Mus musculus: one gene and its partner. The protein of the gene in region 2 purifies or fractionates together with the protein of the main gene of each other region. This does not show direct contact. Links are inferred from orthologs where the notes say so. Each region holds a gene or a part of one and is shown on either strand. Other genes may lie near its edges.

What was found. The genes of interacting proteins can lie anywhere in the genome.
Region 1: the proteins of Pomk (region 2) and Lrp6 purify together in Homo sapiens (affinity purification with mass spectrometry; 3 studies listed by BioGRID and IntAct, counting the BioPlex papers as one, with this or other methods). This does not show direct contact. The link is inferred for Mus musculus from reciprocal best matches to the Homo sapiens genes POMK and LRP6.

The regions. Positions count from the first base shown.
Region 1 is NC_000072.6:134,564,112-134,568,250, reverse strand, and holds the start of Lrp6 (low-density lipoprotein receptor-related protein 6 precursor), read left to right. Parts: upstream 1-1,337; 5' UTR 1,338-1,553; coding exon 1,554-1,608; intron 1,609-4,139. UniProt on the Homo sapiens protein: Component of the Wnt-Fzd-LRP5-LRP6 complex that triggers beta-catenin signaling through inducing aggregation of receptor-ligand complexes into ribosome-sized signalosomes.
Region 2 is NC_000074.6:25,984,000-25,987,642, forward strand, and holds part of Pomk (protein O-mannose kinase), read right to left. Parts: intron 3,642-3,643; 5' UTR 3,496-3,641; intron 2,534-3,495; 5' UTR 2,526-2,533; coding exon 2,247-2,525; intron 1-2,246. UniProt on the Homo sapiens protein: Protein O-mannose kinase that specifically mediates phosphorylation at the 6-position of an O-mannose of the trisaccharide (N-acetylgalactosamine (GalNAc)-beta-1,3-N-acetylglucosamine (GlcNAc)-beta-1,4-mannose) to generate phosphorylated O-mannosyl trisaccharide (N-acetylgalactosamine-beta-1,3-N-acetylglucosamine-beta-1,4-(phosphate-6-)mannose).

The DNA.
Region 1 (4,139 bases), on a different chromosome or scaffold from region 2:
GATAAATTGCTTGCAAGCCCTAGGTGAGCCCTTTGCCCATTCGCCTGCAGAAAGGGTGTGTGATGGCTGGACAGGACACAGCTGATGGTTAACGTTTGGAGCTGGCTGGCCTAGGCTGAAGCTGGCCAGTTGACTGCAGAGGGCATTTGGGCTATTACTTGGAAATGCCCACTGCACATGTAGTGGTAGAGGTTGTTTTGGGGGCTCCTTTTTTTCTCTCAGACCTGTAACCCCTCCCCCTGAAAAGACATGTTTTATTTTCTCTTTGCTGTTAGCTACTAAGGATTTTCTCTCTCAGTTTAGAAAGCTTTAGTCCTTGTCAGCTTAGTTCACAAAAAAAGGTCTGTATTTCTTGGAAGGCAATAAACAAACAAACAAAAAACTATTGTTTTTTTTCTTTAATTTTTTTCTTAGTTTATATTTATTGTATGTAATGATGGATAAGATTCAAGCACATAATTTTCTTTTAACATGTGTGTGCCTCTTCCCCCAACATTAGCTTCACTCTTTTTCCCAGATAGTCATACTTTTATTTTCTTATCATCTATGTGTTAACTCATATATAAAGGCATTTCTACACACACACACACACACACACACACACACCCCTAGATCCACATATGAGGGAAACTTGTCTGAGTAAGGTTTACTTATGTGTATACAATCCCACAATCTTTGTCTTTTCCCCATGTGTGTGACTTTATGTGTATATGTAAAGCAGGCTCCACACTAGGAGAAAAACATACTTTTTTTTTTTTTTAAAGTCCGAGTCTGGTTTATTTTACTTCCTATGATGAGGATTCTCAACCCAGTCCACTAGCGATGTGCTCCGCGTTGGCTTCTGCACACCGTTCCCCTGGCCCGCCGCTTCGGGAAAGCGTAAGCCGCAATGGCACTTTGATTTTCCTACGTCCCGGGGCAGCCCCGGGGTCCGCAGCTCCACCTGGCTCGGCGGCCGGGCGCACAAAGAGCGGCGCGGGCGGCGACGGGCCGGGACGCAGAAAGTAGTCCCGACCACGCCGGCCCCAGTGTCGGCCGACGTCGCCTCACGCCCTCCGCCGCCCGGGGAAAGAATCCCATCGGAATGCGCCTCGGGAAGACCTTATCCCCGCAGCGTGCGGGGGCTCGCGAGGCTCAACCCGCGGGGGCTCTCCGGGGAGTCGGCGCGCGCGGCGGTCGCGGCTCCCGGGGTCCGGCCGCGGCGCGCTGAGGACGGGGGTGGGGGGAGTCGGGCGCGCAGGGAGACGGCGGCGGCCCCGCGGCGGATCCCTGCGCCGCTGCGAGAGGAAGAGGCTGAATGAGGCGCCGCGCGGGGGACGTGGGGCGCCGCGGGAGGAGGCGGCGGCATGGGGGCAGGCGCTGGCGTCGCGCGAGCCCGGGCCGGAGCGGCGCGCTAGAGCCCTGACGTGCGCCCTTTTCTTTCTTCTCGCGGCCGCGGAAAGCATGAGCGTGCAGACCCGCCGCTGCGGCGGCCGCCCCGGCTCCTCGCCCGCGCGTCCCCTGGCCGCCGGGCGCCGGTGAGGGCCGCGAGCGCGCGCGGTGGTGGGGGGAAGATGGGGGCCGTGCTGAGGAGCCTCCTGGCCTGCAGCTTCTGCGTGCTGCTGAGAGGTGAGGCGAAGCGAGGCGAGGCCGGGGGAAAAGTTGCCGGGGTCCCGGGAGGGGGAGGGGAGGTGGCGGGGACAGCGGCGGGGACAGAGGCCTGGCGCTGGGGAGCCGCGCGAGGAAGGGGCCCGCGGTCGGGGGCCGCGCCCGGCCGCCGCGCACACCCCTGGCCGGCCCCGCGGCGCCGCCGGACAAAGCTGCGGGCCTCGGGGGGACCCCTGGCCCCCCGCACTCCATCGGAATGACTGACGGTGCCCGGCTCGCCTGCACTCGGGGCAGAAAGGGGCTTTTGTAGTTGCGCTTTCAGCACCATTGGTGTTGACCTCCCTCTCCCTCGAAGCCTGAGCTCACCTTTCCCGTGTCTCTTAGGTGAACTTTTTTCTTCTTCTTTAAACCCCACTATTTTTTTTTTCCTTCTCCCCTCTCTAGGCCTTGTTACAACTAATAATTGTCTTCCGCGGGGATAGAATGGTCCTGGGTGAGAGCACAGTTGGAAATTGACTCTAGGGTGATAGGTCGCGCTTTTCAGCATTCGGGATCATCTGAGCCCATAATAAAAACACAAACGTTGCCCTCGTAACCCCTGGTATTCAGGACTCGCCCCCTGTTTGCGGAGTGTGCAAGTGTACAGTTGGCACCAAGTAGGGAAGTCATCCTTGTGTGGCGAGGAGCCTATCCTGGGAACTAAATTATCATTTGCTGGGCACCCCTGGGAACTGCTTGGCACTTTAGTAAATAACAGAGAATGCCCTGGGTAATTTGCTATGGGAATCGCTTAAACGTAGTGGCTCTGTGGTGTTTTGAATTTGGACTGTGAGGCTGAGACGTACGTCCTGACTTTTTGTTGTGTGACAGTTTGCAATGGAAACCTTGTCGACTGGTCTTCAGTTGATGAGCGATGGGGGCTGGTGCCATGGAGAGTGTTGCCTGTGCAAGAATTGAGGTGCTGTTTGACGCCGTATCTTGTTGTTCGCTTTTGTTAACTTACCTGTGCCAGTTAATGGGACCTCTCTGGGATTCTTAGTTATTAATTTAACAAGCTCAACGTTTAAGTCCGTCAGAAGTATGGAAGTTTGCAAAGTAGGATAGTAACTAACAATCTTATGATGTAAATGGGACAGCCTATCATCTATGCATGTGTGTATTTGAATAAGACTATTTGCCTTAAAACCCCCCCACCATTTTCTAAAAATAAGCGTATCCCGAATTGTCTAGTCCTTTTTGCAAATACCAGAAAGATAATTGCTGTTTTAATTTCCATGGCAGAGAACTCAATGTTATTACTCAAGAGATTTAATAATCAAGTGTTTATTTTGTTATAGTAAACTCTACATTGAAAGATTTTGCTGTAGCTGTGAGAAAGTTGTTATTAACATGTGAATATGATTGACAAGTTCATAAGAGTTAAAATGTAGAACTAGTGGATTGATTTAGAGTTGGGAAAGTCTAAATCTGTGACTTCTGATGGCTTTAGCGCCTGAAAGTCCAGCTGCCATTCTTAGAGGGGACATAGGACTGTTTGTTTATTTTGATAACAGGTTTGAGCCTAGAGTTGAGTAGATTCATGCATGAGTTTGGTTTAGAGATGGTGAAGCATGATATTGTGTGTAACAAGATCAAGAAGAGGTAACTGTCCGAAGTGGAGCTTATTTAAATGTAATACAATAATGCTAAGGAGGTCTTTGTTTTTCTGTTTAGCATTATTTAATTGTGAGCATATATCATTCCAACTGAAACTGTCTTTTTGGTGTAAACGATTCCTAATTTAAAGTTTCTTCACTTCTTGGCACTGTTAGCCTCTGTTATAAGTGACAGTCACCCTTGGTTTCCCAGGAGCAAAGTGTGATTTAATTACTTGTAGTTCCCAGAAGAGGTGGTACTTTTACTTTGGGTTTGTGATGATGTGTGACTTTGGGACTTTGTACCTTATAGCCTTGTTTACTCACCAGCAGTTGAAGGTCATTTAATACTGCCATCGCTAGGCTGCACCCTGTCCTAGTTACCAAGTGACAAAGAATATTGGGAAAAACTTGAAAGTTGAGGATTTTAGCACCATAGACTTGAGTTTAAAGCTAGATCTTCATTATTTCTGCTTCTGGTTCTCTCTGTCTCAGCTTATCTATAAAACATGGGTAATAATACCTGTCTGGCTGATTTGCAAGGGTTATTAGGTGTGTTTAATGAAGTAACATAGGAGTGCTTTCCAAATATTAATTAAAAAGTTTTAAAGACAGGATCTTTCTATGCTGCCCAGGCTGACCTCCAAGTGCAACTCAACTCTTCTCCTTTCCCAACCTCCTGAGTGTGGGGGTCACAGGCATGCCTCCCCATATATGGCTATAAATAGTGTTATTTTTATATGTGAAAATTTTTTTTTATTATTTATGGATGTGTCCTCAATTGTTGGTGATTAGAGATTTAATTTGTTTAAGATTCAAGAGTGCTTAAAGTAGATGATATTGTTGTCATTTGTAAGAAGTTGGGGCACAAAAAAAAAGTTGGGGCACTCTCTGTCAGCTAGTTCATTGTAGAGCAGG
Region 2 (3,643 bases):
ACACTAAGGGGGAGAAGCAAGCCGCACAGCCTCACAGAGGAGATCACCAGAATTCCACACCAAGTCAGCTGTAGTGACACAAACTTGTAATCGCCAAACTCAAGAAGTAGAGGCAGGAGGATGATGAATTTGAACAGTCTGGGCTATAAAGTGAAACTCAAATTTAAAAGGACAACAAACAAGAGTTCCACACAGGACATACGGACATGTTCAGAGAACCCCAAATAGAGACATCAAATAAACAGTTGATTGTGTGGACCTAGGACTCAGGGACAGAGGCTAGAGGGAGTTTGTTAAATACATAAAAGCAACAGAGTTGGGTGGCGGCGGCAGTAGCACACACTTTTAATCCCAGCATTCAGGGGGGAGAGGTAGGTAAATCTTTGAATCCAAGGCCAGCCTGGTCTCCAGAGCGAGTTTCAGGACAGCCAGGGCTACACAGAGAAATCCTGTCCTGAAAAAACAAACACAAACAAATAAACTGACGCAGTAAAATTCAACTAGGTCTAGATGCTAGATTATATCTAGAGACACAGAAAGATGCTCTCTCAGTCTCACGAACACGGCTGTGTTCGGTCCAGACAGCTATGCATTGAGGGACAGGCCTGTCCTGTGTGGTATAAGGAGTCTGGCAACACTGGCACTGAATGCCAGTAACACTGAATGCCAGTAACAGCTCCACCGTCCAGGAGTGACAACCACGAGTGTCTGCACACATTGCTATCTCCCTCAAAACTGCTGTGGGTGGAGAAGTGGTCGTCTATGGTTGAGACGAGGGAAGAGAAGTCAGGAAAGGACTGCCAACAGAAGTGAGGGCTGCAGATGAGAAGCCTGTGGCCACGCCCAGAAAACCAGAGTCCAAGGGCAAGAAACAACTGAGTCCAGGCTCGCTGGCTGCGAAGACTAAGGAAGAGGAAGGCTGTCTTCAGCTTGTACTCAGCTGGTGACATCGATTAAAAGCAGCTTCCTGGCATGTGGAGGTCACACAGGGGAAGGATGACAGTGACAGAGAGCCCAGGAGGTAGAGGGGGTTAGCGGAGCTCTCCCGTGACAGAGACAGAGACAGAGACAGAGGGTGGCAGCTGCGGAGGGCTGGGCAGTCAAGACAACAGACTTCTTTCTGTGATGTGTGCTTATTCGTGTCCCGCCAGGAATGAAGGGCGGGGTGAGAACCACTCTATAAGCCATGTGTGCAGGGAGCTGTGCAGATTGACTGCACAGGGAGAAGATGAGGATGCTCTCTGAGGAGCCCTCTGTCCTCCTAACTCAGAACACATGAGACCATTAGCTAAGGTAAAGGGTGAGTGTCTGAAAAGGTGAGTGTCCAGTCTCAGAGCAGGAGAGCATCACCGAGGCCTGCTGTGCTGGCCTGAAGGCTCAGAGCCCTAACTCTATACGCTGTCTACCCTGCTTGTGTTTTCTCCCAGAACTAGAAAACCTGGCAACTGAAGACAGTATATTCTACCACTAGGTACCACAATTTTTATTTTATTATTAACTTACAACCCTGGAATTTTCTTCCTGAAACCAACTGGAGTCCCGACCTACACCTAACAGTTACAGATAATAAACTCATATAAAATAAATAAAATATAATAAATAAATAGTGTTTCTGAAAATATGTATTTTTGGACAAGATCTCCTATAACCCAGGCTAGCCTTAAATTCCCCACATAGCCAAAAATGGCCCTGAAGCACACGTTCTTTTTTTTTTTTTTTTTTTTTTGGGGGGGGGGTTGTGTTTCGAGACAGGGTTTCTCTGTGTAGCCCTGGCTGTCCTCAAACTCAGAAATCCGCCTGCCTCTGCCTCCCGAGTGCTGGGATTAAAGACCTGCGCTACCACGCTCGGCTTTTTTTAGGGGGTTGGGGGGCGAGCGTTCTTTCAACTGAACTATAATCCTGGCCTCTCTCCTAAAAGTATCATTTCCAGCCTCTCATAGGATAGTGCACTTACACACCTGGCACCGTTCCTCCAGATGGTTTAGCCCTACCAGAGTTCTAGATCTGAGAACACTGGGCTCAAGAACCGACACACAGGGCCTTCGGCTCTCTCCTATTTGCTTTTAAGCCAGTGTTTCACTCTGCTGCCCTGGTTGGCCTCAAAGTCCTGCCACCAGCCATCTTGCCTGAGACGCCCAGGTACAGCAACAGGTGCCACATCGTTCTTCCAGCGATGCTGCTGCCCGCAGCACGCGCAGGCGCAGGCGCGGCTCTTCCAGCCAATGGCAGCAAGCAGGAATACTCACTCTCTTCACGGCTCCCTCCCCAACGCGCTTCAGCTGCCTGACTTCTGTCCTCAGCTCTTCACAGGACAGCCAGCGTGAGCAGTTTCTCATCCGCCCCATTCTGAAGTAGCCCGGAGGACAGCGCCTAGAGTCCGCGGTGGATCGTCCAGGGGAGATGAAAAGCTGATCAAGGCAGAGGTAGAGCGCCACGTTCATAAGGGCCATGGCGAGCAGCAGCCCCACGCCCCGGGGGAGCTCTCTATGCGTGAGACCATTCCTGGTTCCATGTTGCTGTCCCATGTCAGTCCCTACAACAGAACAGGAGACAATGAGTAGCAAGCACCATTGTCTGCTTGGATTTCCACTCAGATGCCTCTGGCGGGCTGGAGGCGGCCACACCCACTCATGGGTTCAGTCAGCTTCGGGGTCACTTGCAGGCTTGTGTGATGAACCCGCAAATGTGAGCGACTCTCATAAACGTTATTCTTCATTACAGGCTAAAAGTAAGCTCATCCAGACCAGGTCTGGTCTTTTTCGGCCACACTCAATCGATAGCCTGAACGTTTAGTGAAACATAAGCAAAATATGTATTTGCCGGACTGGGATAGAATAAAGACAAGGGTGTAGGCAGACAGGGGACTCCTGCAGCTAGCTGACATGTTAGGGTGCTCCTTGGAAGTTACCCAAAAGCCCCTGAACAAGCTGGTGATGGAGTTTCCAGCATGTGCAAGATCCTGGTCTCAAACCCTAATCTAGCAATAACAAGATATTTAGGCTCTCTTCTTTTGGGGCTCAGGGGATTGAATGCAGGGCGTCAGTTATGCTAGCTGAGCACCCCGGCCCTGAGAGACAGAAGCAAAGGTGGCTCTTCGGCAGGTGCACAAGGCGGCTCTGGGGTGGGGAAGATGGAGGTGTAGAGGCCCTGAGGGTGGGGAAGATCTCTATCTGCAGAGGCCCTGGCAATAATGGGGGGGGGTAACAGTTGACAAAGTTGTGGGTGGCAATCACTGTGACAAGATCTTCTGGAGAGATGACTCAGGAGACACTGGAAGTAGGGACCTAAAAAATCCAGAACAGGGTCACTACAGGCCATCACAAAGCGGCCATGATGGAGGGGCCTGGATGGAGGAGCCTGGATGGGGATAAGTCTGAGATACACCCTCAAACAAAGGATGCTTGTCCCTGGAGGTGCTGGAGAGAGATCTTCTAAGCTGACTCTCAGGCTGGGGACATGGGGACCCAGCATCAATAGTGACAAAAAAAAAGTTACCTTCAGCAGTTTCTTTTTTCTCCCAGCAGGGTTTCCATCCACATGCCTGTGTCCCTCAGTGACCTGCTTGGTTCAACATGGCAGCTCACAACCTCTATAACTCCAGTCCCAGGAGATCTGATGGTGTCTTCTGGCCTCTGGAGATACT